2 linked regions of the Pelodiscus sinensis genome follow. The protein of the gene in region 1 purifies or fractionates together with the protein of each later gene. This does not show direct contact. Links are inferred from orthologs where the notes say so. Each region holds a gene or a part of one and is shown on either strand. Other genes may lie near its edges. The genes, in order: MLXIPL and MLX.

What was found.
Region 2: the proteins of MLXIPL (region 1) and MLX purify together in Homo sapiens (affinity purification with western blotting; 3 studies listed by BioGRID and IntAct, counting the BioPlex papers as one, with this or other methods). This does not show direct contact. The link is inferred for Pelodiscus sinensis from reciprocal best matches to the Homo sapiens genes MLXIPL and MLX.

What each region holds. Positions count from the first base shown.
Region 1 is NC_134731.1:16,402,958-16,417,791, forward strand, and holds the start of MLXIPL (carbohydrate-responsive element-binding protein), read right to left. Parts: upstream 6,562-14,834; 5' UTR 6,474-6,561; coding exon 6,046-6,473; intron 1-6,045. UniProt on the Homo sapiens protein: Binds DNA as a heterodimer with MLX/TCFL4 and activates transcription. Binds to the canonical E box sequence 5'-CACGTG-3'. Plays a role in transcriptional activation of glycolytic target genes. Involved in glucose-responsive gene regulation.
Region 2 is NC_134739.1:8,864,755-8,880,340, reverse strand, and holds the start of MLX (max-like protein X), read left to right. Parts: upstream 1-10,002; 5' UTR 10,003-10,077; coding exon 10,078-10,122; intron 10,123-10,462; coding exon 10,463-10,499; intron 10,500-11,260; coding exon 11,261-11,350; intron 11,351-12,152; coding exon 12,153-12,259; intron 12,260-12,410; coding exon 12,411-12,510; intron 12,511-13,138; coding exon 13,139-13,238; intron 13,239-13,760; coding exon 13,761-13,962; intron 13,963-15,044; coding exon 15,045-15,101; 3' UTR 15,102-15,586. Other genes in the region: coenzyme Q-binding protein COQ10 homolog B, mitochondrial-like, read left to right, coding at 2,786-2,871, 3,511-3,663, 3,905-4,097, 4,741-4,842, 5,088-5,255. UniProt on the Homo sapiens protein: Transcription regulator. Forms a sequence-specific DNA-binding protein complex with MAD1, MAD4, MNT, WBSCR14 and MLXIP which recognizes the core sequence 5'-CACGTG-3'. The TCFL4-MAD1, TCFL4-MAD4, TCFL4-WBSCR14 complexes are transcriptional repressors.

The sequences.
Region 1 (14,834 bases):
AGCTGGGGATGGACCAAGGTGCACAGGAAGTGCCTGGCCCCAGGGAATAGACATGGAAGAGGAAGGGCACTTGGAGAAGCAGCTCATGCCAATGGACAAGGCAAGAAACCGGGACACAGGATGGTTTAGTCTCAGCTTTGTCCAATGGCAATTCTCTCAGTGTGATCTAGGGCAAGTCACTCAACTTCTGGGCCTCAGTTTCCCACCTGTAAAATGGACATCAAAGTACTTATGGGGGGAGGGGGTTTCTATGGTCAGAAAGTGCCATTTCAAAGGGCTGTTCCTGAGTAGAGCTCAGTGAAGCAGGGGCCTGGGAGAAGTTTACAGCAATGTCACGAGACCTACCAGGCCATTAACTTCAGCTGTGTATCCTCTGACACACTCACAAGCCCCACACCCCCTGCCCACACCACAGCCCTTTCCCAGGGCTGCCCACAGCATGTGGGTGTAGATTGCCCAGTGTGGGAGACAGGGGTGACAGACCAGAAACAGGCAGGACATTGACCAAGATCCATCCTGGACAAACACAAGAGGCAAAGCTGCCAGAAATGTCACCGCTGGCCTGAGCACACAGGGGAGAGAAGGCAGCTATTAGCAAAGTGGTGCCAATGTAAAGACCTGGAGGAATCACATCACAGAGCAGGGAGGGGACCGGTGCGTCTGGTCCCACTGCCACCAGAATATGGAGTCAAAGGAGGACCTCCCCAAATTCGATGGACACAGACAACAGGGCAGGAGCTCCAAGAAACAACAAAACCTGAGGGACTGCAGGAAGACTGAGAAATGAGCTCTACAGAGCTTGGCTAAGTGACTTCCTAGTGGAGCGGGGCAGGAGATCTCGCCTGAAGGGATGAATACCAGGGGCAAGAATTAATCCGGTTTGGGTGCAGGGCAGGGCCAAGGAGAAGTGGGATGAAATGAAGAAGGAGAACATTTAGGCTGAATACCAGTGAGATCAAGGGATCCTGGGGAACAATTCCCAAGAGAAGCAGGAGCCCCAGGCCTTGAGCGATTTAAACAAATCACCCCGCAATGCACAACAGCGCCCATCCTGCTCCAGAGTGCAAGCGAATGGACACAGTGGGGCTGCACAAGGCTCCTCCAGTCTCTCCCCATTCCAGGGAAATCCAACAGCTGAGAACAGGGGCCCAACCCCAAGCTCTGAATCTCTCCTGGGTTAAGACGCCACTTAAACATGATGCCAACAGAGCACACAGCCACCCCACCTGGTCTGCAGTGACAATGGCTGTCAGACCACCAGAAACCCCTAGTCTCCGAATCCAGCTTCCCACAGGCCTGCTCCACAGCTGAGCCTGAGCTGCCCTTTCAGCCTGAACCGAATAGCCAGGCAGCGTCTAACAAAGGGCACCCTGTCTGCTAATGCCCTGTCCCCACTCAGAGCTCTGGCCGAGCCCAAGGCCCTCAAGGTGCATGGTGAGAGCTGAATGCGCAGGGTTGTCTTCCCCGTGCACCCGAGAGCCTAGACTCTGCGGTGCCCTTAGAACTCTGAAATCCTGTTCTTTGTCAGCAAACTGTTACATTCCTTATTGCGTCTCGGCTGTGGCCTGTCCCAGATCTCCCCTTGTCCTCTTCCTGCCATGTCCTCCAGCCAACAGAAATGTGGCCACGCACTGCTTTGCACTGTTTCCTCTAAAACCCTCTGTTCTCCATCATCCTGGTTCTCAGGCTCGCAACCTTGGGTCCATCTGCAACTCCTGCCCCCAACCCTGCTGCATTTCCCTCCATAGTGTAGCAAAAAGCCAGCTCTTCCTCCCCAAGCTACAACACACATCCATGCCATGACTCCTGGTCCCTCCTCCCTGGCCTCCTCAACATTCACACGTAGGATCTGCCATAGAGAAGAAGTGTGGCCCAGTGGTTAGAGTGCTAACCAGGGACTCGAGACCTGTAGACTTCCCGTGTGACCCCGGATATGCTACTTGGGCCTGGTTTGCATGGGAACTTGGCCAAAATCAGCATCCAAGGGCTGTAACTATGCAGAAGAATTTTGCAGAAGCGACAGTCACTTGGGGAGGAGACCTACAGTGTCAGAAAACCCCATTCTGTTGCTGTTGGCTGTGTCTACACTACAGGGTTCCTGGGGCATGGCTACAGCACTGCATCTGTCTTGCTCTAGTGCCCAGAATGTAGATATGGCTTTAGTCTCTCTGCCCATGCCCCATGCGTTCTTCCCATCCTGCTAAAGACCGAGAGGTGCTCAGAAATTACAGCAATGGGGCCTCCATAGGCCAGAGCTTCCCCTCTCCCTCCAGGCTTCACACATAGAGCAGTGTATGGGGAGATCTAGCTGGCCGAGTGAAGCACAGCCTGACTCTCAATTCGATGGCATTTCTCTGAAATGAGATCATTTGTGATGCAGTTCCAACTTCTCAAGGATTGTTCTGCACATCTAAAGACAGAGCCCTCATGACTGATGAAAAGCAGAAAATCCAAAGAGGGAAGGAGGAACACAAGGGGTGCGTCTAGACTGGCAAGATTTTGCGTAAACGCAACCGCTTTTGCGCAGAAACTTGCCAGCTGTCTACACTGGCCACTTGAATTTGCACAACAGCACTGACGTTCTAATGTAAGAATTCAGTGCTTCTTGCGCAAATACTTTGATGCTCCCGCTCAGAGATAAGCCCTCTTGCGCAAGAGGCCAGTGTAGACAGGCACCTCCATTTTTTGTGCAAGAAAGCCCGATGGCTAAAATGGCCAAAAGGCTTAGATATTCATTTCTGGCTTCTCATCCCAAACCAGGATAGCATCTGCCGGACTGCAGTCTGTCAGTGCAAAGCCTCATACTGGGCATGGATACTTTTTGCGCAAAAGCATCCGTGCCAGTCTAGATGCTCTTTTGCGGAAATACTTTTAACGTAAAAGCGTTTCCATTAAAAGTATTTCCTCAAAATCATATCAGTCTAGACGCAGCCATGGAGTTCCTGCTGTCCCACTTTCAGGGTATATGCCCCTGTATTCCATACGGTGGATGGCATATTATTTTCCTGCCTTAAGAGCAGGATGACGTGGGTGTGTTTCCAAATGCTTTTGAAAGGGGGTGTGAATTGAACAAGGTGGGGCAGAAGGACATGATCTGGTATCTGGCTCCACTTCTGTCAGGGACAAAAGGCTTAGATATTTTCACACTTACGGCTAGAATGGGTGATCATACAGATTAAGAGTAGGAAAAGGCTTTGGGTGCTGGCTGGCTGCAGATATCACAGTGTAAATCCAGGGAGCTATGCAGCCTGCACGCCGATCTGAAGGGAGACAATCCCTTGCCTCTTACCAAAAGAGGTGATGGCTGGGAGCTTGAACCCTTTAACTGGGGTCCTTGAGGGACTATGATGACATCTGGGCTGGCAGCTGGCTGGCAGGGCCATTATCTTTGTCCCCCTTTGTAGCTGTCTGTAGATCAAAGAATCTGTGATGGCTGCATTACTGCCTTGCAGTGTAACAGCATGCAGTGTAAGCCTGCCCACCCTCCCAATACAGTGTAAAGTGCGGACACCCTGAAGCACTCAGCTCTCAGACAGAAGTAAGGGTGATGACAGGGAAATAGAAGCATGGAGGCATACACAAAGCCTCTGGGTTGGGCGGTACGGGTGACATCAGGATGGGGAAAGGAAATGGGGGAGGCACACAGAAATCCTGGCATAGGGTGAGGGGAAGAAATGAGGCAATATACAGAACCCCAACATGGAGGGAGAATGGGGGACAATGGTATGTGGAGGGAACCCCCACATTTTACAGCTGGTTAAAAATGCCAGAGGTTTCTTAGGGGACATTGTGAAAATAAATGATGAGTTTCTTTTTAGTTGGTCATCGAAGATTTTTTTTGTTTGGGATTTTTTTAATTAAAAATGAAAAAGAAAAATGTTGGTTTTCATTCTTTAAAAATATTCAATAAGTGAACCCGAACATTAAAAATTTAACCACAACTTTTCCTGAAAATGTCTTTGTTTCTGGCTTCTCATCCCAAACCAGGATAGCACCTGCCGGACTGCAGTCTGTCAGTGCAAAGCCTCATCTGGGCCAACAGAACAGCCCTCTTTTAAAGCTTGTTTTGATGAAAAGTGCCCAGCGTGACCCAGCACCGTGCTATTTACTGAGTCCTTTCCTGGAAGTCATCAAGCTGAACTCTGGCAGCCTCATTAGCAGAAGATGCTCCACACGTATCTAGGTGAGCAGTGTGCCTGGTAATGAAATACATGGGCGAGAGAGAAACTCTCCGTGGAAAGGGCTAGGCACAAAGGCTTGCTCGGCTCCTATGCCAGTGCAAAGGAAGCATAAAATGCTACCAGATCTGACTGGGAGCCCTTTGCAGTCGGGATGTGATAGTGTAGTCAATGAACCGATTAACCAATAAGCAAAAGTGCATAGGTTAATGCTATAGAGTACGTGCATTTCCCCGCCTCCCCCACCAGTGCATTTTTAGCAGGCTGGCCAGCAGCCCGGCTCATTTCTGGCTTGTGATGGGTCCTGGACCTGCCCCTGCTGCGGCTCTGCATTTAAAGTGTAGTAGGAGCTGGGCGGGCAGGCAGCCTGGCTCAGGTCTGGGAGCTCAGATGCTCCACCCAGACAGGGGCTGCTGCCACCCAAGCTGCTGACTCTTTATCAGAGGCAGCAGCACAGGGCAACAGGCAGGCGGTCTGCAAGGGGAGCTGGTTTTTTAACTGGCTCCCCTCACAGACCAGCACCTGCCTGGCACCCAGAGGCAAAGGCAGCAGCGCAGGGTGGCAGAGGGCTCCTCAAGAGTGAGGCCGGAGCACACTGGCTGCCGGCCCTGCCCCCAGGGACTATAGAATAGTCGACTAACCAATAAGAATTCATGAGGTTACTCGACTATTCAATTAACCGATATTTAACATCCCTAGAGTGTAGACTGTGCTGGGGCGTCACCGTGCACCCCGGGAAACGTCTAGACTGCAAGCTTCTTCTGAAAGAGCATCCACACCTCAAAACCGGATTGAAAACTGATCTGCTTTTTCGAAAGAGAGCATCCAGACTGCATGGAAAGAAATCCCTGATTGCTGTGCACAGAATGGCGCAGCAGAATGGCCACCAGGGCACCTGGGCTTTTTTCGATTCCCTCTTCTTTCAAAAAATGCCCCTGTTCTGCGTCCACACATGCCTTTTTTCAAAAGAGCTCTTTCGAAAATGGCGTTCTTCCTCGTAATCTGAGGTTTACCAATGTCGAAAACCCTGTATTCTTTCCATTTCATTTCAAAGAACGGCATTGCAGTGTGGACGCAGGTGACGTTTTTTCGAAAAAACAATGTAGTCTAGACATACCCCCAGTGTTGTTCGGCACCTGGAGGGGGGCCAGGCCAGTGGGGCCTTGTCTCCCCATAAAGAGCTGGAGAGTCCAGCTGGAGGGAGCAGCCCCAGAAGAGGGGAGGCAGATTGTTCTGTCTAGGTCCTCTGGGAAGCAGCCTGAAACAGGGCTGAGAAGGGAGGGCAGGCTGGCAGAGCAGACCATGTGTTCTAACAGCAAAGGGCTGAGGGAAGGGCACTGCCTCTGGGCAACAGGAGCAATGTCTCAGCGGGTTTCTGCAAGTGCAACAGCCCGTGTGCTGCTCTGGCCCCTGTGAAGGGACTTGGGGCTGTTGGGTAAATAGAAAGCACCAAGTGCGTATCGCTCGTTTCTCTTTTAATATGAAACTGACCCACTGCAAAGCCCCAAAATCTGCTACTCATACTGGGGGCTATGAGCCCATATTAGTACCAAGCTAGTCTGTGATCATGTCGCTAATATCCACCCCCCACTGCCAGGGACACAAAGGGGGGGCAGAGATAACATGCTGATGTTCAGTTGTAGGGCTCTTCTGAAAGAAAAACCAAATGGCTGCTGGAGCGATTTTCAAAAGGGAAAAGAGCCTGGGGGATGAGCCATGGCCAAAGCACCTGTTCTAACTGTATATTTTGATCTGAATTCAAAATGTGATCAATGTCCTTGACCCCTGTCTATATGCCAGAGGCCTGCCACACAGAGCTGGGGAGGGGGAATCCAGGGGTCCCAGTCAAAAGGATCCTCAGACTTACCTGTAGGCCAGGCTCATGCACTCGAAGAGTCGGGTGAGAGTTGGGTCGATGGTCCGGGGATCTGCTGGCTCCGGCTCAGAATGGTGGGGGCGTCGGCGGGGCACCAAGTCGCTGTGCGGCGAGGACACCATAAAGTGGCCGCTGTGGATGACCTGGGAGTGGGGCAGGGAGCCTGACCCTGGCCCAACACTGCCTGAGCCCAGACCCTCTGAGTCTGAATCAGAGTCTAACTCTGGGACTGTCCTGACCTGTGGGTCCAGAAAGGCTCCATGCAGCCCCACCTGCATTCCAGCGATGGTGCCCGGTGCAAGCAGCCACCCACCAGTGTGACCCTCTTTGTCTGTCTGGGGTCTGGGTACCTGGGAGGCCCACATCATGGCAGTATCTGAGCCCCACACATGTCCATTAGCATAAGGCGTGTGCACCATGCCCCCAGATCTGCATGTTGCTTCCCCACCCTCTCCCTGACTTGTTCTTTGTCCTGTGTCCTGCTTAGCTTGCCATTCCCCTGCTTCTTGGCAGTCCTATTTATAGGGCCCCCAGGTATAATCCCACCCCGCCCTCTTTACTCCAGCCATGCCTGTGGGCGGGGACAGGGGTGGGCGCTGGAGTCGAGCAGGGAATTAACCCCTTGTCTGCTGGATCCAGGGAAAAGGGGGAGCTCTGGGTCACACTAGAGTCTATTTCCATGACAAGCTGCCTACATTAAAGGAGAAGCCGCTCCAGCTTCCATCTGTTCCCAGCCCCCGCAGCTAGGAGGCCAGAGACAGGTCTGCTACTACAGCTCAGTTAGCTTTGTTTACCTTGGCTCAGCGCTGCTCTGCCTGCGAGCGGGAGAAAAATACACGGTATTTACCTAGCACGTCTGTACTAATGTTTCCCCTGCATTTCCCAGGGAACAAATACAGATTAAGGGACAAAAACAGGCAATTATAGCGACCAGGGTCCAGCTCAGCACAAAGCAGGGAGCGACTCGCGGAGTCATGCCCAGGGCCCTGGAAACAGGCAGCGTGAGAACCTGCTTTCAACTGGCTCCTCCAGGGTCTTCCGCTGAGCCAGAGAGAGGCAAAGATACAGACAAGTTCTCCCGGGGGCCTCTGAGGAGGCAAGGCCCCCAAGAACAACTGGCAGACTTACTCCGTCCTGGGCCTGAAAACTTACAACTGACGTGCTAAGGGGAGATTTTCAAAGATGGCTCACACCTGCCTCTGACTTCTGGGGGAGCCAAGCAGCCAGCCCCATGGGGGCCATTGAGAATCTCCTCACCCTTTGACCCAGGATGCATCTGCAGTGAAGGCTCTGCCCAAGTCTCCATGCTCTGTGCTGTCTGTGGGTGATGGTCTGCACAGGGGACAGGCTGAAGGGGGGTGCGGTGCTGTAGCCAGGTCACGACTGAATGAGAACATTGAGAAGAATGTTCCTAGCATCACGGAGTATGGCCAAAATGGCGTATTTGAGTGTTGGTGTCAGAATATAAGTATAATGATGGTAATAAGTGCTATACAATTATATGAAATGATATGCCAAGAAGGCTAAAGGCATATTAGGGTGCATTAGGAGGAGCAGTGCCAGCAGATCCAGAGAAGTGATTATTCCCCTTTTTTCGGCTCTGGTGAGGCCACATCTGGAGTACAGGCAGTCCCCGGGTTACTGATAGGGACTGTAGGTTTGTTCTTAAGTTGAATTTGTATGTAAGTCGGAACTGGTACATATTGTAGGGGAAACTCTAGCCAAACATTTCTCCAGAGCTCAGTTTTATTCTCCCACACCTCGCTTCCCTCAGTCCTTTATTCTCAAGCTGAGGTGTCTGCTGAGAAAAGCCGCTCCTCGTCTCCCTGGTCTGCTGGGGGGCGGGGGTAGCTTCGCGTCTCCCTGGTCTGCTGGGGGGAAGCAGCTAGTGCGGGGTTGCCTCACCCCATTTGTAAGTAGGGATCCGATGTAAGTCGGATCCATGTAACCCGGGGACTGCCTATATTGTGTCCAGTTCCGAGCCATCTACTATAGAAAGGATGTGGACGCATTGGAGAGGGTCTTGAGAGGGCAACCAAAATGATTAGGGGGCTGGAACACATGACCTATGAGGAGAGGCTGAGGGACTTGGGGCTGTTTAATCTGCAGAAGAGAAGAGTGAGGGGGGATTTGATAGCAGCCTTCAACTTCCTGAAGGAAGGTTCCAAAGACAATGGACAATAGTGACAGATGGCAGAACAAGGAGCAATGGTCCCAAGTTACAGTGGGGGAGGTCTAGGTTGGATATTAGGAAAAACTATTTCACTAGGAGGGTGGGGAAGCACTGGGATGGGTTACTTAGGCAGATGATGGGATCTCCATCCCTAGAGGTTTTTAAGTCTCGGCTTGACAAAGCCCTGGCCGGGTTTAGTTGGGATTTGGTCCTGCTTTGGGCAGTGGGCTGGACTTGATGACCTCCTCAGGTCTCTTCCAGCTCTATGATTCTAAATTCTGTATGCTTCAGTTTGAGCCTGCCAGCCATCCTTCATGATTAGACAATGTTGGCTGTAAAGTCTTGTTTCTTGTTAGCATTACACATTAAGTTGTGCCTCTTGTCTACATTGTAAATTAAATTAACTTAAACAACAAATGGTCCTGCAGCACTTATGTCCCAGCAGGACTTTTTGAAATTTCTTTGGTAACTATATGATCCTTTCTAAAATGTAATCCTGTCTAAAATGCTCAGTGAAGATTCTTTAACAGGAAACAATTGCTGTAAATCATTTGTTGTGAGTGGTGGATATGTACATAGTTAAGGATAAGTGTGAAAGCCATCACGAATGCCCAAATGGTGAAGAAGTGAGAACTTTAAAGACAACCAGGAGGCTAGAATTAAATTAGCAGAATTGATACACTTTGGAGACAGGACAAAAGAGATAACAATGGGAAGCCTGACAATAGTCATCAAAGGATAACTGTGGAAAACCGAAGCAAAATGCAGGACAATGTAGCACTTTAAAGACTAACAAGATGGTTTATTAGATGATGAGCTTTCGTGGGCCAGACCCACTTCCTCAGATCAAATAGTGGAAGAAAATAGTCACAACCATATATACCAAAGGATACAATTTAAAAAAAGTGAACACATATGAAAAGGACAAATCACATTTCAGAACAGGAGGGGGATGCGGGGGGGGGGGGGCGGGGGGGAAGGAAGGAAGGTAAGTGTCTGTGAATTGATGATATTAGAGGTGGGGAGAGTGGGATGTCTGTGAGCTAATGGTATTAGAGGTGATAATTGGGGAAGCTATCTTGGTAATGGGTAAGATAGTTTGAGTGTTTGTTCATTCCTTCCCGGAGAGTGTCGAATTTTAACATGAATGACAGTTCAGAGGATTCCCTTTCAAGTGCAGATGTTGTCACATTACCGAATTGGAGGGAAGCAGCCAGATCGCTGCTGCACCCCTAGGTGGGGGTGTTGGCCACAGAAATTGGTATAAAAGGGAGCCATGTGGGGTATTGAATGGGAGCCCCGGATTCGAGCAATTCGCCCTGAGCGGACGCCCTCAGCTGTGCCCAGACACGGCCCGGTCCGTCACAGTGGCGTAGTCGGCAGGATCCACAGATCTTGGTCAATTGAGCTTTGGGATCAGGACCCCACGCTGTCTAAATTTGATTTTTAGTACTGAGAGTTTGGTTGGGTAAAGGGCAGCCGAAATGAGTCAGTGCCAGTATGAGAGCCTAAATAGAGAGGCTCTGAAGGATTTGTGCTCGGGGAGAGGCATTGCCTTTAGGAAAAGGGCCTCTAAACTAGATCTGGTAGTGCTGTTATTAACCAGAGATGTGGATGAAAAGGAGCAGAAGCAAGCCAAGGAGGCTGCTGAAAGAAGGCGGAAGGCAGATGAAGAAATTGCTAAGAGAAAGCAGGAGATGGATCGGGAACTTGAGATGAGAAAAGCAGAACATGCAGAGAGAATGGCAGAGCATGCAACTGTGACGGACCGGGCCGTGTCTGGGCACAGCTGAGGGCGTCCGCTCAGGGCGAATTGCTCAAATCCGGGGCTCCTTACAGCTCCCCGACTGGTGACCTCTCCAAACAGGCCACAAACCAGTCCCACAGAGCGCTTCAGCTGCCTGCCTGAAGCCTCCCGAGCAAAACCCCTCCGACGCCCCAGCAATAACCGTGCCCCAGATGGCCCCGGGCCTCATACACAGGTGGGGGGGTCCTAGCACCCAATCCCACCTACCCCGAACAAGTTCTGTCCGGTTCCAAGAAACCAGCCACAGATCCCTGGTCAATTTACCCTCTGGACCTTACCCACAAATCACACTGGGCCAATCCTTTAGAATCTATATCTAAAGGTTTATTATTACAAGAAAGAAAAGCCTGAGAGTAAGGTTATTAAAGTACAGTACGTTACATGCACCGAATCTCCCAGTCCTCGATGCAGGCTCTAGCAGAGGTGTTGCAGCTGCTGGTTTAAAAGTTCTTATTGCACATCCTACGATCAGGATGGGTCCACAGGTCTTCCGGGCTCTTCAATCCCTGCATTGCTGCCTCTGGGATGAAGTGCTGAGCTGAGAACAACATGGCATCGACCGCATGGCCTCTTTATACCTCCTTCCTGGCCTCTTCTTGTATGCAGCAAGTCACCTGGTCAGAGGCCAATCTCTATGTTCCCTGCTGGCTGCCCTCAGATGACAAACCCCATTCTTTGGGTGTGTCCATAGCCCATTGAGAGCCATTGTCCCACAGGGCCTGGCTACTCAGCCTGTCCATAGCAATGCTTACCCACATTCAGAGAAATATTCAGCTTCCACACAGATTACAGATTCCTACCTACACACACAGACATTATATATTCACATAAATAGCGTACATAAGATCAACAAACAATAAGCTCCCATTCAATACCCCACATGGCTCCCTTTTATACCAATTTCTGGGGCCAACACCCCCAACTAGGGGCGCAGCAGCGATCTGGCTGCTTCCCTCCAATTCGGTAATGTGACAGATGTAAAAGGTCTTTGTAGCAGAATGCAGGTGGTTAAGTCATTGAGAGAGTGTCCTTTCTGGTTAAAATGGAAAGAAACTGTTTTCTCTTTGTGATCTTGTCTGATATCTGTTTTGTGGGCATTAATCCTTTGGCGAAGTGCCTGAGATGTTTGTCCAACGTACATAGCATACGGACACTTTCGGCACATGATAGCATTAATTATATTACTGGATGCGCAGGAATATGTGTTCTTGATCTTATAACTCACTTGGTTAGGTCCAATAATGGTATCAGCAGAAGGAATATGTGGACAAAGCTGGCAACGGGGTTTGTTGCAAGGGAAGGTACCAGGATTGGTATTAGTGTGGTATGTCCTGTGGTTGTTGGTAAGAATCATCTTGAGGTTAGGTGGTTGTCTATAGGAGACTATGGGTCTGTCTCCCAGAGCCTCTTGGAGTATGGTATCCTGTTCCAGTATAGGCTGTAGTTTATTGATAATGTGTGGACAGGTTTAAGTTGGGGGTTGTAGTTGATGACAAGTGGTGTTCTATTGTTGGTTTTCTTGGGTCTGTCTTGAAGTAGATGGTTTCTAGGTATTCGTCTGGCTCTTTCAATTTGCTTTTTTATTTCTCCGGGTGGGTAGTTGAGGTTTATAAATGCTTGGTAGAGATCCTGAAGTTTCTGGTCTCTGTCAGTGGGATTAGAGCAGATGCGGTTGTATCGAAGGGCTTGGCTATAGACGATGGATCATGTGGTGTGTTCTGGATGGGAGCTGGAAGCATGTAGGTAACTGTATGAGTCGGTGGGTTTTCTGTAGAGAGTGGTGTCTAATTTTCCATTGTTGATTTGTACTGTGGTTTCCAGGAAGTGGATCTCTCGTGTAGAATGGTCCAGGATGAGGTTGATGGTGGGGTGTAGGTTGTTGAAATCTCTGTGGAATATCTCCAGTGTTTCTTGGCCATGCGTCCAGATCATAAAGATGTCATCGATGTACCGTAGGTAGAGAAGGGTGAAAGGGGACTGGAGTTGAGGAAACGTTGTTCTAGGTCAGCCATAAAGATGTTAGCATACTGTGGGGTCATGCGTGTACCCATGGCTGTGCCGCTGATCTGGAGGTATAAGTTGTTCTCAAACTGGAAATAATTGTGGGTGAGAACAAAGTTACATAGGTCTGCTATCAGGTTGGCAGTGGTGTCCTCTGGGATAGGATAGTGTTTCTAATTGCTTGTAATCCATCTTCATGTGGGATGTTGGTATATAGAGTTGGTATATGGTGGCAAGGATGGTGTTATTGGGGAGGTTATCGATGTTTTGTAGTTTCCTTAGGAAGTCAGTAGTGTCTCGGAGATAGCTGGGGGTGTTGGTTGCGAAGGGTTTGAGAAGAGAGTCTACATAGCTGGATAGACCAGTAGTGAGCGTGCCAATACCAGAGATGAAGGGACATCCGGGGTGCCCAGGTTTATGGATCTTGGGAAGCAGATAGAACAATCCTGGTCGGGGGTCAGAAGGTGTTTCTGTGTGGATTTGTTCCCGAGTAGCTGTGGGAAGGAGACAGTGTAGTTTCTTTTGGTATTCCAAGGTGGGATCAGAGGGGAGAGGTTTGTAAAATGTGGAAAACCCTGAGAGTAACACCATTTAAGGATTAATGATTGCAGCATGACATTGCAAAACGCATAGAATCAAATGGAAATTTCTAATTGCTCTTATTCTACGGTTCAGAACCTTGTCACATCCAGGGCCAACTGAGGCCTGGGACAAAATACCGATAAATGTATGCATTGATTACTATGACATTTTGAGACAATTTTAGGGATAACCTAGGGTGATGTTACAGTTAACGTGTCTCTGAGGTCTCAAAGGGGTAGCCATGTTAGTCTGTAACTAAAAGAACTTACTGTACATGGGGAGAGGGGACAGGCAGAAACATCTGGATCTCACTATGCATGTCAAAATGATTGCCATTACCAATGCCATGTTAATCTCTCTCTCTCTCTCTCTCTCTCTCTCTCTCTCTCTCTCTCTCTCTCTCTCTCTCTCTATATATATATATATATATCTATGAGAGCATGTCTGTAAGTCCCAGAGGGGTAGCTGTATTAGTCTGTAACTTAAAAAACAACAAATAGTTCTGCAGCACCTTCTGTGCGTCCATTTGTTCAAGAGCCTCTCCCAAATGGTAACAGCTATGAACACCAAATTCGGTAGGCAGCTTCCTTTTCTCCTAACTTAAAGCAAGTTCAGGGTTTGGTTGTGTCCAGAAAGTAGGAAATCCCTGGAATGGAAATGCTTTCCATAACATGGAAAGGGAAGGGACCGCTGTCCAGAGGGCTGTGAAACTCACAGTGGCCATGTGGGCATTGAATGCTGGAGAGAGCTATACTGCAGAGTGACTGCTGGGGGCAGCCACACCGCCAAGAGAAGGGCCAGCTGAGGCTGGGGCTTGCCATTAGACCCGGTAAGTAGCCTCCCTGCCTCAACCCCTCCCCCGGCCCCGAAACTAAGTTTAAGGCCCAAGAGGGTGGCATGCACCTTACTGGCAGAGATGTGCAATGCGTCTGTATGGATTCCTTGGACTGGTGCATACAGGAAAACCAAGGCACCCTGACGAGGGGGACAAAGAGCCAAAATCTCAGGTAGATGCGCTCATCAGAATCACTAAGCGAAAGTCCTGATGGCTTTAGCCACAGAAGATGGTCCAGGATTTGTGCACCAGATGACTGAAGGGGAGTGGAATGTTCCAGCTCTGCACTCATGGGGGGAACTTCTCTCTTTAGCCAAGGCTGCTCCCTTGCTGAAGCCTGTCTGGTTTCTAGGAAAGCTCTGCCTGTCCAGTGATGTGAGCCCGAGGGCTCCCAGGCCCAGAGTTGAGGGGGGCTCCAGAGGGAGGACACCCCCTGCTCGGTTATACCTGGCCCAGGCAGAGGCATCACAAATCGATGAGCGGATCGAGACAGTTAGGTCTGGACACCAGAAGTGAAGCTGCTGCACTGGGGCCACAAGAATCAGCTGAGCCCACTCTCGCCTCCCCCCCTGGGACTCGGAGGCAGGTGGAATGTGCCAGCCCTGGAGCTGACCAGATGGGGAGGTAACCGTGAGGACCCAGGACGGGAGAGCAGAGGAGCTAAATGAGCAACGTGGCACCTCGTTTAAATATCCCCTTGTTCTCTGCTGCCATCTCCTGGAGAGCAGGGGGAGAGGACTGGGACACTGGGGCTGCGTCTAGACTGGCAGGATTTTACGCAACTGCTTTTAACGGAAAAATTTTCTGTTAAAAGCATTTGTGGAAAAGCGCGTCTAGATTGGCAGGACGCTTTTCCGCAGAAGCACTTTTTGCAGAAAAGCGTCTGTGGCCAATCTAGATGCGCTTTTCCGCAAAAAAGCCCCAATCGCCATTTTCGCCATCGGGGCTTTTTTTCTGAAAACAAATTGGAGCTGTCTACACTGGCCCTTTTGTGCAAAAGTTTTGCGCAAAAGGACTTTTGCCCGAACGGGAGCAGCCTAGTATTTCCGCAAGAAGCACGGATTTCTTACAATAGGAAGTCAGTGCTTTTGCGGAAATTCAAGTGGCCAGTGTAGACAGCTGGTAAGTTTTTCCAGAAAAGCGGCTGATTTTCCGGAAAAACTGGCCAGTCTAGACACAGCCCGGGTATAAGGAGACCCAGTTTTGTGCTTGCAGCTTGGGGCCCCTATTTTTGAGAGAGCCCCCTTGGGAATTCACCAGGGGAAAGCCTGGCCACTGGTGGGGGAGGGGTCACTCTCACTGCGCTGATGTTTGCCAAGGGGGGCAGGAGGAGGAACGTGGCCTGGATAAAGCTAGTGGGCAAAGAGCAGGAGTTTGCATCA
Region 2 (15,586 bases), on another chromosome or scaffold:
ACCCCCCCAGCTGTCCTGGGCCCCAGGCCCCCATGTACACCCCTCCAGAGACCCACCCCAGCTGTCCTGGGCCCCAGGCCCCCATGTACACCCCTCTAGAGACCCCCCCAGCTGTCCTGGGCCCCAGGCCCCCATGTACACCCCTCCAGAGACCCCCCCCCCAGCTGTCCTGGGCCCCAGGCCCCCATGAACGCCCCTCCAGAGACCCACCCCAGCAGTCCTGGGCCCCAGGCCCCCATGTACACCCCTCTAGAGACCCCCCCCCAGCTGTCCTGGGCCCCAGGCCCCCATGTACACCCCTCCAGAGACCCCCCAGCTGTCCTGGGCCCCAGGCCCCCATGTACACCCCTCTAGAGACCCCCCCCCAGCTGTCCTGGGCCCCAGGCCCCCATGTACACCCCTCTAGAGACCCCCCCCAGCTGTCCTGAGCCCCAGGCCCCCATGTACACCCCTCCAGAGACCCCCCCAGCTGTCCTGGGCCCCAGGCCCCCATGTACACCCCTCCAGAGACCCCCCCCAGCTGTCCTGGGCCCCAGGCCCCCATGAACACCCCTCCAGAGACCCCCCCAACCGCCTGGGACCCCAGACCCCCAAGTACACCCCTCTAGAGACCCCCCCCAGCTGTCCTGGGCCCCAGGCCCCCATGTACACCCCTCCAGAGACCCCCAGCTGTCCTGGGCCCCAGGCCCCCATGTACACCCCTCTAGAGACCCCCCCCAGCTGTCCTGGGCCCCAGGCCCCCATGTACACCCCTCCAGAAACCCCCCCCAGCTGTCCTGGGCCCCAGGCCCCCATGTACACCCCTCCAGAGACCCCCCAGCTGTCCTGGGCCCCAGGCCCCCATGTACACCCCTCTAGAGACCCCCCCCCAGCTGTCCTGGGCCCCAGGCCCCCATGTACACCCCTCTAGAGACCCCCCCCCAGCTGTCCTGAGCCCCAGGCCCCCATGTACACCCCTCCAGAGACCCCCCCAGCTGTCCTGGGCCCCAGGCCACCATGTACACCCCTCCAGAGACCCCCCCCAGCTGTCCTGGGCCCCAGGCCCCCATGAACACCCCTCCAGAGACCCCCCCAACCGCCTGGGACCCCAGACCCCCAAGTACACCCCTCTAGAGACCCCCCCCAGATGTCCTGGTCCCCAGGCCCCCATGTACACCCCTCCAGAGACCCCCAGCTGTCCTGGGCCCCAGGCCCCCATGTACACCCCTCTAGAGACCCCCCCCAGCTGTCCTGGGCCCCAGGCCCCCATGTACACCCCTCCAGAGACCCCCCCCAGCTGTCCTGGGCCCCAGGCCCCCATGTACACCCCTCCAGAGACCCCCCCCCGCTGTCCTGGGCCCCAGGCCCCCATGAACACCCCTCCAGAGACCCCCCCAACCGCCTGGGACCCCAGACCCCCATGTACACCCCTCCAGAGACCCACCCCAGCTGTCCTGGGCCCCAGGCCCCCATGAACACCCCTCCAGAGACCCCCCCCAACCGCCTGGGACCCCAGACCCCCATGAACACCCCTCCAGAGAGCCCCCCCAACCGCCTGGGACCCCAGTCCCCCATGTACACCCCTCCAGAGACCCCCCCCAACCGCCTGGGACCCCAGACCCCCATGAACACCCCTCCAGAGACCCCCCCCCAACCGCCTGGGACCCCAGACCCCCATGTACACCCCTCCAGAGACCCCCCCCAGCTGTCCTGGGCCCCAGGCCCCCATGAACACCCCTCCAGAGACCCCCCCCAGCTGTCCTGGGCCCCAGGCCCCCATGTACACCCCTCTAGAGACTCCCCCAGCAGTCCTGGGCCCCAGGCCCCCATGTACACCCCTCCAGAGACCCCCCCCCCAGCTGTCCTGGGCCCCAGGCCCCCATGTACACCCCTCCAGAGACCCCCCCAACCGCCTGGGACCCCAGACCCCCATGTACACCCCTCCAGAGACCCACCCCAGCAGTCCTGGGCCCCAGGCCCCCATGTACACCCCTCCAGAGACCCCCCCCCCAGCTGTCCTGGGCCCCAGGCCCCCATGTACACCCCTCCAGAGACCCCCCCCCCAGCTGTCCTGGGCCCCAGGCCCCCATGAACACCCCTCCAGAGACCCCCCCCCAGCTGTCCTGGGCCCCAGGCCCCCATGTACACCCCTCTAGAGACCCCCCCAGCAGTCCTGGGCCCCAGGCCCCCATGTACACCCCTCCAGAGACCCCCCCCCAGCTGTCCTGGGCCCCAGGCCCCCATGTACACCCCTCCAGAGACCCCCCAGCTGTCCTGGGCCCCAGGCCCCCATGTACACCCCTCCAGAGACCCCCCCAGCTGTCCTGGGCCACAGACCCCCATGTACACCCCTCCAGAGACCCCCCCAGCTGTCCTGGGCCCCAGGCCCCCATGTACACCCCTCCAGAGACCCCCCAGCTGTCCTGGGCCACAGACCCCCATGTACACCCCTCCAGAGACCCCCCCCAGCTGTCCTGGGCCACAGACCCCCATGTACACCCCTCCAGAGACCCCCCCAGCTGTCCTGGGCCCCAGGCCCCCATGTACACCCCTCCAGAGACCCCCCCAGCTGTCCTGGGCCACAGACCCCCATGTACACCCCTCCAGAGACCCCCCAACCGCCTGGGACCCCAGACCCCCCCTCGCCCAGGGTCCCCGGGCTCTCCTGCCCGAAGGGGCGGAGCCCTCCCTTGCCACGGCCCCGCCCCAGGGGAGTTTCCCACGGTGTCACTGGGCACGTGGCGGGGCCACCCCCGCGGGTGCCGATGCCGGGGCCGGGGCTTCCCGGCCGGCAGAGCCCAGAGCCATGGCCGGGAGCAGCCGCGGGGGAGCCGCGCTCCTGCGGGCGCTGCGGGGAGCCGGGGGCCGCCCGCGCCGCGGGGACGGGACTGGGTAAGGGCCGGACCTAGGGAGCTGAGCCGGGCCCCGGGCCCGCGGGTCCTGCCCCAGCTGGTGGGGTCAGTGTTGGGAGAGTGGGGGCGCCCCCCAAGTGCTGTCGGGGGTCAGTGTTGGGAGAGTGGGGGGCGCCCCCCGAGTCCTGCCGGGGTCACTATTGGGAGAGTGGGGGCGCCCCCCAAGTGCTGCCGGGGCTCATTGGGAGATCGGGGGCGCCCCCCAAGTGCTGTCGGGGGTCAGTGTTGGGAGAGTGGGGGGCGCCCCCCGAGTCCTGACGGGGTCACTATTGGGAGATCGGGGGCGCCCCCCAAGTGCTGCCGGGGCTCATTGGGAGATCGGGGGCGCCCCCCAAGTGCTGCCGGGGGTCATTGGGAGATCGGGGGGCACCCCCCAAGTGCTGCCGGGGGTCAGTGTTGGGAGATCGGGGGCACCCCCCAAGTGCTGCCGGGGATCAGTCTTGGGAGATTGGGGTGCGCGTGGATTGGAGTGCGCTGGGGCTGAGAGGAAAGCTGGACCCACGGGGGGATCGAGGGCTGCGCTACCCGGGGGTGTTCCCCGCCCACACCCACGAGGCTGGGCTGCCCCCCGGGATGTGCCCTGTCGCTCACCCCTTGGAACCGGCCTCCTGTGTTTCAGGCATTTAAGTTCCTGTGGGCTCCTGGCTCTGCAAGTCCCCAAGCGACCTCCCGTCACCCCGGCCTTGGTGCTGCCTGCGCGGAGCTTCCTGAACCTGGCGGCTGCGCAGCTGGGCAGCAAGCGGATGGAGTATTCGGAGATGCGAGTCCTGGGGTGAGTGTGTGGCTCCGAGGGGGGGGGCTGCAGGAACCTGGCCGAGGGGGTGGGAGTTGGAATTGCCTCTGGAGGGGGCTGGGGCTTGTTACCCAGGGGAGGGGGTGGGGTGCAGGTGGGTTCCCGGGCCTGATAAACTCCTGGCCAAGGATTCTGCCCGCTACCCTGTGAAACGTGAGCTCCTGCCGGCCTCCTGTCACCCCGGCCCCTGCTCACGGGCGGCTTGTCTCTCCCCCCCCAGCTACTCCACGGAGCAGATGTACAACGTGGTGGCCGACGTGGAGAGCTACCAGCACTTCGTGCCGTGGTGCAGCAGCTCCAAGGTCCTGTCCTGCCGCCAAGGGCTGACGCGGGCCGAGCTGGAGGTCGGCTTCGCGCCCTTCGTGGAGCGCTACATCTCTGAGATCTCCCTGACTCCCCAGCACCAGATCCGGGTAAGGGGCCGCCAGGGAGCCTGGGGCTTAGCTGGGAGGAGCTGAGCACTCACAACTCGCTGCAGGTGCTCGGCACCTCTGATCACTGGCCCGAAGCGTGTCAAGCAGGGGCACAGAGGCTGGTCTTGGAACGGGCTACTGTGGTTCCCAGACAGACCTCCTGTTCTTATGGCTTTGATCCCGGCTGCTCCCCTCTCAAAAAGTTGCTGTGTGAGAGGCAGCCCCCAACACCCCATCCCTCCTGCTGAGGGAACAGCTGGGCTCCAAGGAGCCAAGCCAAACCTGGGTGGCACCCAGCGCCGAACTGTCCTGGGTCCAGTTCCTGGCAGATCAGGGCTGGGGATGCGCTGACGTCGGCGTTCGGGGCAGCTGCCGGATAGGGAGCTTGTGCCCAAGCGAGCCGGCAGCCACTCGAGGGATGGGGGTTGGCGGGTGACCGCACAGCCTGTGCAGCTGTTTCCACATTCACTGACTTGTGCAAAGGTTTGCTCAGACGCGAACAGGAAGCCTGGTTCTTCCTGGCCGCCGCAGGCCCTGTGTCTATGGCTCCCGGGCTCTCCGCGGGGATGTGGCTGGGGGGGCATTGACTTTCCCGCCTCTCCGCTCAGCTGAAACTTGACGCGAGCCGCCTTTCCTCCCGCAGGCTGTGTGCAATGACGGCCACCTCTTCCGCCACCTGGAGACCGTCTGGAGCTTTGGCCCGGGGCTGCCAGGGCAGCCGGACACCTGCACTTTAGAGTTCTATGTGAGTATTCCCCTCCGGGCCTGTCCCCGAGGCAGGCTGGGCCGGGCGTGGGGTGGAAGAGGCCCCTGCACAGAGCGGTCGCTCAAGGCAGGTCACATGCGGGGTCGATGAATGCTTCAGACAGGCCAGCCCCCCCCCCCCCCCCCATCTTGCTGGCAAGTCCTGCCCTGGTCCCCAGGCGTGTGCGTAATTGCCTGGCCACGCACCCCCTGGCTCTGCTAAGCTCTGTGTCCCCCCCCCCACAGGTCTCCTTTGAGTTCAAGTCCATCCTGCATTCCCACCTGGCCCAGCTGTTCTTCAATGAGGTGGTGAAGCAGATGGTGGCAGCCTTTGAGAGGTGGGCCGAGAAGACGTACGGCCCGCAGGCGGCCCGGCGGCCCCAGAAGCGTGTGCGGGCAGCCCGCTGCATGTGACGCCGCCTCCAGCGCAGCTTCTCCTGCCACAGTGGGACCCTCCTGGGAGCACAGCAGAAGACTTTGTCTTCGTTTCATTCTGTCCAGATTTTTGGCTGGACGCCCCCCCCATCCCCGCCCCATCCCTGGGTCTATTTATGTCTATTTAACCACGCGCCCTGGAGAGAAATTATTTTTTTTAATCCTTTTTTGGTTCTATTTAATGCCCTTGGCCTGATCTCTGGGCCTGCTGCTATATCCAGTATTAAGAGGCTCTGTGTCTTGGTTTTTTTTTAAATGTTCTGGTTTTCATGTGACCTCAATAAAATGTGCAATGAAGCTTTGTCGTTCCGAACATTTCCTCACCCGCCAGCCTTGGCTTCTGGATCGCTTCTCGGCAGCCTCCTCCCCCCGCGTCTGGGAAGTGAAGTCACCGGGATGTCTCGGTGCACTGAGCAAACAGGAAATGCCTTGGGAGCAGGAAGGGGGGAATCCAGTGTGGAGCCCAGCTTCCTGCCCATTTCACGGCCACGCACGACCACTCTTGGAGGGGGGGGGTAACAGTTTGGAGGCACCTCATGTGAGGCATCCAGCCGTGAAACCATGACTAGCCCTCCCCTGGCAGGGAACTTGCCTGTGATCTGGTGTGACACAGGCTTTGCCCGGTGCGGCTAGGCGGGGGGTTGTGAGTGCTGGCAGCTGCCCCGCTTGCATCCCAGCGCGTCAGTGTGAAGGTGAAGGGCCCATCCCCCCATTTTGAGTCTTCCCGGCCCCCTTCTGCTGAATGCAAAGTCCCCTGGACTGCATCGGTGCTGCTGGTCGAAGGGCCCCACGCTGGTGCTGGGGAGTGTGGCTGCAATGCCTAGTGGGAAGGGGCTGAGTCCCAGGGGCAGCTTCTCAGACTGATGAAGCTCCAGTCCCTCCATAGGCTGGCACCTGCCACTTGCCAATTGGGTGTCTGCGCAGGGGATCCGGCGGGTCTGCCATTCCATCTCTGGGCCCAGGGCCTCCTGGCAGCCTCTGGGCTGGTGCTCAGGTTCCAGGACTTGCCCTTCCCGCAGGAAGGTGGCAAAGGAGCCGCTGCCCCCTCCAGCTTCACAGAGCTGAAGCCAGTCGGTGCCAGAACCCCCTGGGAGCTGCCTGCTCCTTCCTTCCCCGTTAGCATCCCCCAATGAACTAGATCCCCAACAGAACCAATTGGCCGAACTGCAACCTGTGGGCATGGCCCAGGCTGTTCAACTGGGGTGCAGGGGGTTACCACAGCCCGCCCATCCCACCCTGCTGAGCTCTTTGGCCTCCCCTGGGTAGGGGCTGGGTAGGCAGCTGCCCAAACCATGCGAAGGGAAGGGGAGGGGAGGGTTGGGCAGCCCCACCGATCGCTGCTGCACAGGCTATTGGAGCAGGAAGATCCGGGCAAGGTTCTGAAGGAGGCTGGGGGGCAGCCCCCAGCCCGGCCCTGCCTGCAGCAATTCCCCTGGCTTGTGGCTCTGGGGAGGGGCGCCGGGCGCTGGGGCAGGAGGAGAGCACAGAATGTTTTCTCTGTGCCGCGAGGGGCACGGCTTTGCAGGCGGGAAGACCCGGGTTCCTGGCGCTCTCCCCCAGCTCTGCATCACAGCTGCTCTCGTAAACAGCCCCTACGCGGTGCCCTGGAAGGGCCCAGCCAGAGGGACATGCTGGGCCAGGCCAGGGGCTTCGTGGCCCCAGGAATGGTCCTTGCCCCTCCCCCTCCCAGATCCTGGTGCTGCGCAGGCTATTGGCGCCGGGAGATCCAGACAAGGTTCTGAAGGAGGCTGGGGGGAGGGGGTCCCCCAGCCCGGCCCTGCCTGCAGCGTTTCCCCTGGCTTGGGTGCTGAGCCCTCAAAATCCCCCAGTGCCAGGCAGGCACCTCGGGGTGGGAGACCCTCACTGCAGGTGCCCTGTGGTACCAGGGCTGGGGACCGGGGCCTGTGAGCAGCTGGGAGTCAGAGGAGGTGGCTCCAGGCATCCGGCATCCTCCAGAGAGACTCCCAGGAGCCTGCCTGGGTCTGGAGTGTCCCCTGCACAAATCTCTCATCCCGCTGCCTGAGATGGGTCTGTCTGTGCAGCACCGAGCCACGCAGGGCCTGGGGGCGACTCCTGGCCAGGTAGCAGCCTATAGGAATGGGTCAGTGCGGCCCCCCAGGGCTGTTCCCTTCGCACCCCTCAGGGGACGCGCGAGCTTGTGCTGGCTGCGCTTGGCATCTCAGGCCTGGCTCAGTGCAGCAGGACTGTGCCGTGTGCCCTTTGAGTCCCCTTGGGCCGCAGCCAAGTTGGGGGGGGGGGGGCAGGGGCACGTCAGCAGTGGACTTTGTGCGAGCCGGGCAACCAGCGTCAGAAGGGCCAGGCCGGGGACAGAAGGTGGCTGTTATCTCGGGGCCGATTACGCCAGCAGCAGGAATCAACGGCCCCTGGCATAGGCTGGAGAATGTGACGTCGTGTTGGGATGTAGGCTAAGGGGGCATGTTCTGGTGAGGGGGCAGGGAGGGGAGCCAGGGGTGCCCTAGGGAAGTGTCGCTGCTCTGTGGCACTCCCGGGGCACTGGTGGCTGCTGGAGGGTCACACGCCGAGTCGAGGTTGGGCCCAGGGGCTCAGGGCGGTGGCCACGTGGCTCCCGTGTTCTCTGCTCAAAGCTTGGAGCAGGGGCAGCCTCCCCCAGTGGGAGAGGGGTGCCCAGCTAGCAGCACCCTGCCCAGCGTGCCTCGCCCGGGGGCTGCAGTGGGCAGTGGGGCTGCGTAGGAAGCAGGGCTCCGTGTGTGCTTGGGGGGGGGGGGGGGGTTCCGTGGTGCACTAGCCTGGGGGTGCGTCTCCAGGGAGGCTGCCCTTGCAGGGGGATGGGAAGGGACCTGCCTGCCTGCTTTGGCAGAGACTCCCACTGATGCAATGGAAGAGGCAGGTTCTCCAGCCCCATCTGACTGAGTCAACATGGCCTGTGCCCCAGGGTGTGCGTCCCACTGCCCAATTGCAGCGCATGGGTCCTGGGCTGCGGGGGGGAGGAGGGGATGGGCTGACACCGCGTGGGGGGGAGGAGGAGGGAGCTGGCCAAGGCAGACTGTGGCCTGTCCTGCTTTGGAGCACTGGCTGGTCACACCAGGTGCAGAAATGGTCAAGTGGCGAGGTGCATTCTGTGCCAGCGGCAGCTGCTGGGACAGGCTGCCAGGCTGGGCGACTCCCAGGGAGATGGGTGGCCCGGTTCCTAGTGGTGAAGGGCATCAGCAGCCCTGGCTGGCCATTCCTGACTCTGACACAGCATGTCTCCACGACCTGCGGCAAGTCACCTCATCCACCCTGCGCCCCAGGTGCTGTGTGTCCCCACAGGGTGGGGGGAAGGCGAAGCCCATTGCTACTGCAGCTCAGTACTGGGGGCCAGCAAGTGCCTTGCACAGGGGAGGAATCGTGGTGATTTTCCCTGGGGCTTAGGCCTAGCTGGGGGGGTTTCCTGGGCAGGTGGGGTGAGGTGTGTGGCATGCAGGCAGCATGAGAGCTGAGCCCTGGGGCTATGCTCATCACACACCTTGGGCTGCTGCCAGCCTGGGGCCCTGGTGGTGCTGCCGAGGCAGGGGCAGAGGCAGGGCCTCACTTGCGTCAGGGCAGGTGTGACGTTTGCATGTCACTTCCGTGTGCTCACGGCACCCAGCTGGCAGTGCTGGGGCAGGCTCTGTCTCAGGGCTGTAGAGCACTCATGGGCTGCAGGCAAGGGCCCGACAGAGCTGGGTACAAAGGAATCAGAGACATGACTGGGATGCCCATTCCCTGCCCCGCCTGCTCCACTGGCCCTTTCTGCTTTGTGCTGCCCTGGGAGGACACCTCCCCTCTCCCCCGGCATCCAGTCATGTCTCTGATTCCTTTGTACCCAGCTCTGTCGGGCCCCAGGGGCTGGCTCTTCCTGCTGGCGCTGGGAGTGAGACAGCCTCAGCCCCTGCAGTGTCCTGGGAAGCTCGTTTCCTGCTAGGAGGAAGCCCAGGCTGCAGGGTCCTTGGGGAGGCCCACGCAGCCAGCAGGAGGCCACTGACGGTGGCAGGAGCGACAGAGCAAACACTGAGCCTGCTGCAGCAAGTGCTGCCAGGGCCCCGTTGCAGGGATCAGCTGGGAATGTCCCAAAAGAAATTCGTGCAGGGACAGCGCCAGCCACCTCCTTGAGGCAGCTGCCTCCCGCCCCATCACCTGAGTGGCTCAAAGCCCCCCCCTCGGTGAGCAGCGCTGCCCAGCCCCAAGAGTGCACACATCACAGCAGGGCGGGACAGTGCTCCCTGCCCCCAGGAGCCCAGCCCCATGCCCTGCTCCAGGGGCTGAGGCCTCCTCAGAGGAAGGGGCAGTTCCCGGCCAAGGCGGGAGCCCCCCTTCCCAGGGTCCCATGGGGCTGGGTAGCTGGGGGGAGGCCCACAGACAGGAAGTAGGTAGGCGGTGGCTGCAGGGCCTGCCCCACGGCAAGAGGTCAAGGAGAGGGCACCGCGTGGGGGTCACACGAGGCCAAGGACCCAGCCCTAGGGCCCTAGATCGGAAATGGGGTCTCCTGAGTCAAAGGTCAGCCTCAGGGCAGGGGCTGGGGTCATGTGAGGTCAGAGTCCCGCCCCTCGCAGCATTGACACGTGGTTCCCTCCTCCCCCCCCCACGCCACGTGGCTCGCGGCCCGGCTTAGAATCCTCAGTGTCACGGCGCCCCCTGGTGGCGCAGAACCCTGGGTTCGGCCGCCGTCACCCCGCGCGGTGGAACTACAGCTCCCGTCAGCCCCCGCGGGAGGCGTCTCCCGGATCCCCCTGTCCCCGCCGGGGGGCGAGCGCTGCGATTGGCTGCCGCCCGGTGGTCACATGACCGAGCCCTGGGGAAGATGGCGGAGCAGGCGAGCACCTCGCCCGAGGACCCCTGGGGGAAGGTGAGTCCCCAGGGCGGGACGGCGGCCGGCGCGGGACACACCGCGAGGCCCCGTCTCCCCGGGAGAGGGCGGCGCTGCCCGGCCCCGCCCCCCACTCACGGAGGCGGAGGGGTCCCCCCACGGAGGGGGTCAGAGGTCACGGAATGAATCAGCTGGGGGGGTGACCACAGGGCCGGGGGGGGGGGGGCGACCCCCATGGGACCCCAACGTGCTGTCACGTGGTGGGATAATGGCTTGTTGCGCAAAAAGGCACGTGCCCGAAAGAGGAAACGGCTCGCTCACTGCCTGGTTTGTGTCTCTCTCTCTCCTGCTGCAATTCGCTCACCCCGCCCCGCCCCAGGTGGAGTCTGCCTACAGCGACAGCGGGTTGGATGCCTGTGAGTAGATCCCCCCGTGTCCCCTTCTCCCACACTCCCATCAGGCCACAGCTGCCTCAATGGGCCAGGGAGCTGGAGTCGTTTCTGTCCTTGGCTCTAGTTCATCGTTTCTCAAACTGTGCTCCACAGAGCCCCAGGGCTCCCCCAGCTATCTCCAGGGGCGCCGCGAGGTTGACAAACTGGAAACATGGAGAGGTGCAACCCCTACAATCAGTGGACGGCTGGGGCTCTGCATAAGTTCAACACACACACAATCAGTGGACTGCTAGGGCTCCACATAACTTTTTACACATGTAAAGGGCTCCGCAGCCCAAAACGTTTGAGTACTGCTGCTCTAGTTTAGGCTACTAGGAGAAGTACAGTCTAGTTGAATTTGGTCCAAATCTGCACTCTCTCTTTAAAGCAAGACATATCTGCTCCTTGGAAAAGCAGCACAGATAAAATCATCATTGTATTTTGTGCTCCATCAGTAAGAGGTTTGTGGAGCCCTTCTCATGTCTCCTGAAATTTATTTTGGGGAAACTGCAGTGCAAAGGATATTAGAGTTAACCAATTCAAGCACAGCAAGGTTTCACGTCGGGTCCCAGTGGCATTTCAGCATTCATTGCATCTATCTGCACTCTGTCTGGGAGCTAGTTACCCTGTAATTTGCCTTGTAAAGTTGATCCCTTCTGTGTCCAGTTTACAGTGTCTCAGGTTTAGTGACACTTACCTCCTCTTGCATGATGTAGGAAAATATGCTACGGTGTTTTCTCTTTCAGCATTCTTTGTGGAAAGCACTAGGAAAGGAAGCATAGTATCCCGAGCCAACAGCATTGGCTCCACCAGTGCCTCCTCGGTCCCCAATACAGGTATGGTCCTTCTCCATGTTCCAGCAGCGTCTCACACAATAGGGGCTTTTCCCACTCTCTCACTCATATTCCTGTTCAGTCTCGGTCTCCTTAGGAGTTGTTCTGTACGAGACCGTGATTGCAGGAGCTTCCTCTGCCAGCTAGTGCAGACATCTTGTCCTTGGCTAGGGAGAATGGTAGGGAAGCCCAGGGAGGGCATCGTGGCTTGCTGCAGGGCAGTTTGATGGGACTCCCCTGACCATGGAGAACAGAGGAGAGCTGGAGCGAGGGGCTGACGAAACTTCTTTGCCAAGAATTTCAAATGCCGAGTGGTGATGGATGCTCAGGCTGAGACACCTTAGAGGCCTCATTTCCAGGAAGTGCTGAAAAGCTGGTCTCTCTATGGAAGGGATCTCTGCTTAGACACCCAGTGCCTTGAAATTCCTGGGGCAGACTCCAATGCAGCAGAGCCCTGCTAGTAAGAATCTTGCCTAGACAAGCCAGGACCCAGCCCTGGGGTCTGCGGGAGAAGCAGGTGGTATCCAGTATCAGCCTTCCCTATAATGAATTACCCCAGCTGCTCACACACTGTGGACTGTTGCTAGCAGAGATGTCCTTAGACAGGTGGATCTTTACTGTGTTTGGCCCCCTCCTTTTGGAAAAGCTGTGTGGAGCTAGTCCAGCCCTCTGGCACAGTTGAAATGCTCCCCAGCGCAGACACTGCCTGGTGTCTGTGTGGCCTCAGCAGTTTTTGTGTCTGCTTCCTGGGCTCTGGGAGCTGCCACGTGCCCCCGAGCCAGCGGTGCCCATTCTTCTGCTGCAGATGATGAAGACAGCGATTATCGCCAGGAAACCTACAAAGAGTCCTACAAGGACCGGCGCAGACGTGCCCACACTCAGGCTGAGCAGAAGAGACGAGATGCCATCAAGGTAACCCAGGCGTTCAGGATGCTGTAGGGGTTCAGATGAACCCGTGGGAGCTGTAGATTTACACCTTGTTAAACACTGACTCAGCCAGCTCTAATCATCCGCTGCTGTTGAATCCACAACACCTTGTCACTTCTGCTCTGCTCCTCCACAGAAAGGCTACGACGACTTGCAGGCCATTGTCCCCACGTGCCAGCAGCAGGACTTCTCCATCGGCTCCCAGAAACTGAGCAAAGCCATCGTCCTGCAGAAGAGTGAGTCCGGAGGGGGAGTGGGGCACTGGCCACCCTCTGTTCATGGGGGTTCAATGTGGAGAGCCCCCCCAGGCTGTAAAACCTTCCCTGCAGACACTCAAAACCAAACTAATAGGCATCTTGTGTCAGGCCTCACTGAGCTGTCTGCTTCCTCCCTACTCAGCTCTGCAGGTTACTGCTCCCCTGATCTCCTGCTGAGGCTGAGTAACACTGGTGCAATCAGCCTAGCAAGGCAAAGGAGGCACAGTGTTGCAGGGTGAAGCACTAGCTACCTAGTTCAACCCCCACACACCCACCTGTCAGCCCCTCCTTGCTGCTCACAGGCATTGAAATCACTTGGGTTGAGGCAGGAAGACTGGGTCTAGGGCTTAGGAGTCTGGGACTCTTCCCAGCATATGATCTAGAGCACCTGGCTCCCCTCTCCTTGGAGCTGGGGTATGACGCATTGGGACTCTCAGGAGAGGAGTTGGGAGACTGCCTCCTGGTCAGTTTGGATGCATGAGGTCTGCAGGGAAGAAATCGACAGCCATGCATCAATCCTGCAGAGGCCCCACCGTCCTCCTGCCCCCTGCAGAGTGACATCACTGATCTATTCTAAAATTCTCCCCTCCCCTCTCCTCCCCTGCAGCCATTGACTACATTCAGTTCCTCCACAAGGAGAAGAAGAAGCAGGAGGAGGACGTTTCTACCCTCAGGAAAGATGTCACAGCTTTGAAGATCATGAAAGTGTAAGGAACAGTTTCACACCCCCACCCCACCCCGGGAGATGGGTACATTTGCATACTGCAGCACATGCTGTAAGTGCTCATCTCCCCCCTCCACCTGTTCCGTGTCATTCCATCCTAGAGCTGGTTACTACCTGGCTCTTTTGTGAATCTGGGCTTGACGCAGATCCCAGTACAGCGCGTGGGGACATGGCTTAAGCCCAGGGACTGTCCGTAGGGCTGTACCGACTCTGAACAAGGAGACCCAGCCTGCTCCTGGGTGTCCTCTCCAACACAGAAGGGAGGCCACAATTTCCCTGTATTTATTCCCCTCAAGGAACTTAAAGCCCAGAGCCTGCTAACTTAACCCTACAACCAGCAAGAGCGCTACCTTCAGTCCTAACAAGCACAGTTAAGGCCCTTCCACAAACACTGCAGCACGTCCCTGAGTCTCTTTCACCTCAAACAGATCTTTGGAGAGTGTCTCAGGCCAGAACTAGCTTCCCTGGCCTGCCATTTTACCCAGGTTTCTTTGGTCTGTTTCAGAAACTATGAGCAGATTGTGAAAGCTCATCAGGATAATCCGAATGAGGGGAAAGACCAGGTCTCTGACCAAGTCAAGTTTAATGTTTTCCAAGGCATTATGGATTCACTGTTCCAGTCCTTTAATGCCTCCATCTCGGTAGCAAGTTTTCAGGAACTTTCCGCGTGTGTCTTCAGCTGGATTGAGGAGCATTGTAAGCCACAGGTAAGCTCTAGGAGCCGTACAGTGCATGACATGGGGCAAGCACCTTCATGGGACTTGCCCCTAGCTCTGAAATTCATTGCGGTGAGGTTCTTTTCTGCGTAGAGATACCCTTCGGCACTTAGCTAGTCTCCAGGGTGCTGCAGGACTATTTGATGGTTTTTGAGTTTTTACAGGGGCTCTTGTTCTCCAGCTAAAGCAAGCTTTGATAGGACAGAAACCTTCCCTAAGGGTACGTCTAGACAGCGGTGCTATTTCGGGATATGTCCGGTATCCCGAAATAACGGGCTTGCTATTCCGACATCCCGGTGAACCTTGTTCCATGAGGATTAAGGGACTTGTTGGAATAATGGTCTATTTCGAAATTAAATAAATAGACTCTTTCAAAATAAGCTATGCAATTTGCGTAGCTCGAATTGCATAGCTTATTTTGAGCTACGTGGCACTGCATAGACATACCCTGAGAGGCAAGTGGGTATACAGGGGGCCCTTGCTAGAAGTCCAAGATACATTCCAAAAAACTTGGACTTATAGCGAAACAACTTAAAGCTTTTTGTTTCAGCCACACCAGACTAACAAGGCTACATATCTATCACTAACTTAAAGCACGTAATTTTTTCCCCACGGCTGACTTCCGTTTAAGCAAACTGGGGGGAGTGTTTCGCATGACTTATAATGCATCAGTTTCTACAAACATCAGCAACTTTAGTGTGGAACAGATGTATACCGGGGCGACTTATAGCAGGGACCCTCTGTACCACACCTGCTTGCACTAAGCTTTTTTCCTCTAAAGCAGCTGATTCTGCTACAGTCTGACAGGAAACTGACCAGGCTGAGTCCTTCCTCTGATCCAAGCTGGTAGGTCCCATACTCCCAGTAATACGGTACCTCCCCTAGGTATGTTGCGATTAAACCTACCTGTGCTTGGGTGGGGCAGTGGGTACCCAGCTGCCTTTCTATTCACTTTTCCCGCTCTGTAAGGAGTTCCTGGGTCTGCGCTGGAAGCCGCTGAGGCATTGCCAAGGCAAATGTTCGTCTGTCTCGCGGGGTGACTGATCCTGCCTCCTCCTTCTCCTCCTTCTCAGACTCTGCGCGACATCGTGCTGGGGGTTCTGCATCAGCTGAAGAATCAGCTCTACTGACTGTTGTTCCTGCCCGGGTCCCAGCAGCCTGGGCCTGTGTCCTTCACCCAGACAGCTGCAGAGCACGGCCCAACTGGGAAACAGGCTCCAGGAATAGCTGGTCTATTTCCCTTGTGGTTGTTCTTAAAGCTTCTCTCTGGATTATTTATTGTATTGGCCAAAACCAAAACTAGGCTGTACATACCTCTCCACAGACCCTGTCGCAGTCTGTAGCACCAGAGGGTCCGTAGGGACTCGGCAGAGAAGGGAATTTAAATGTGGATTAAATACACTTCTTATTGCCGAGAAGGAAGGAGGGGGAGGGTCTCACCAAACTGGCACAGCAGCAACTAGGCCTTTCCTGCGCCTGACTCCCTACAGTGGTGGCGGGTGCTCAGCACTTTGCTGCCTGGCCTGCTCTGGGCAGAGGGAGAGGGGAATGGCCTGCAGTCTGACTACTGCCTGTGAGGATGCAGGGCCTGGAAACCACAGAGCCTGGCTGGGAG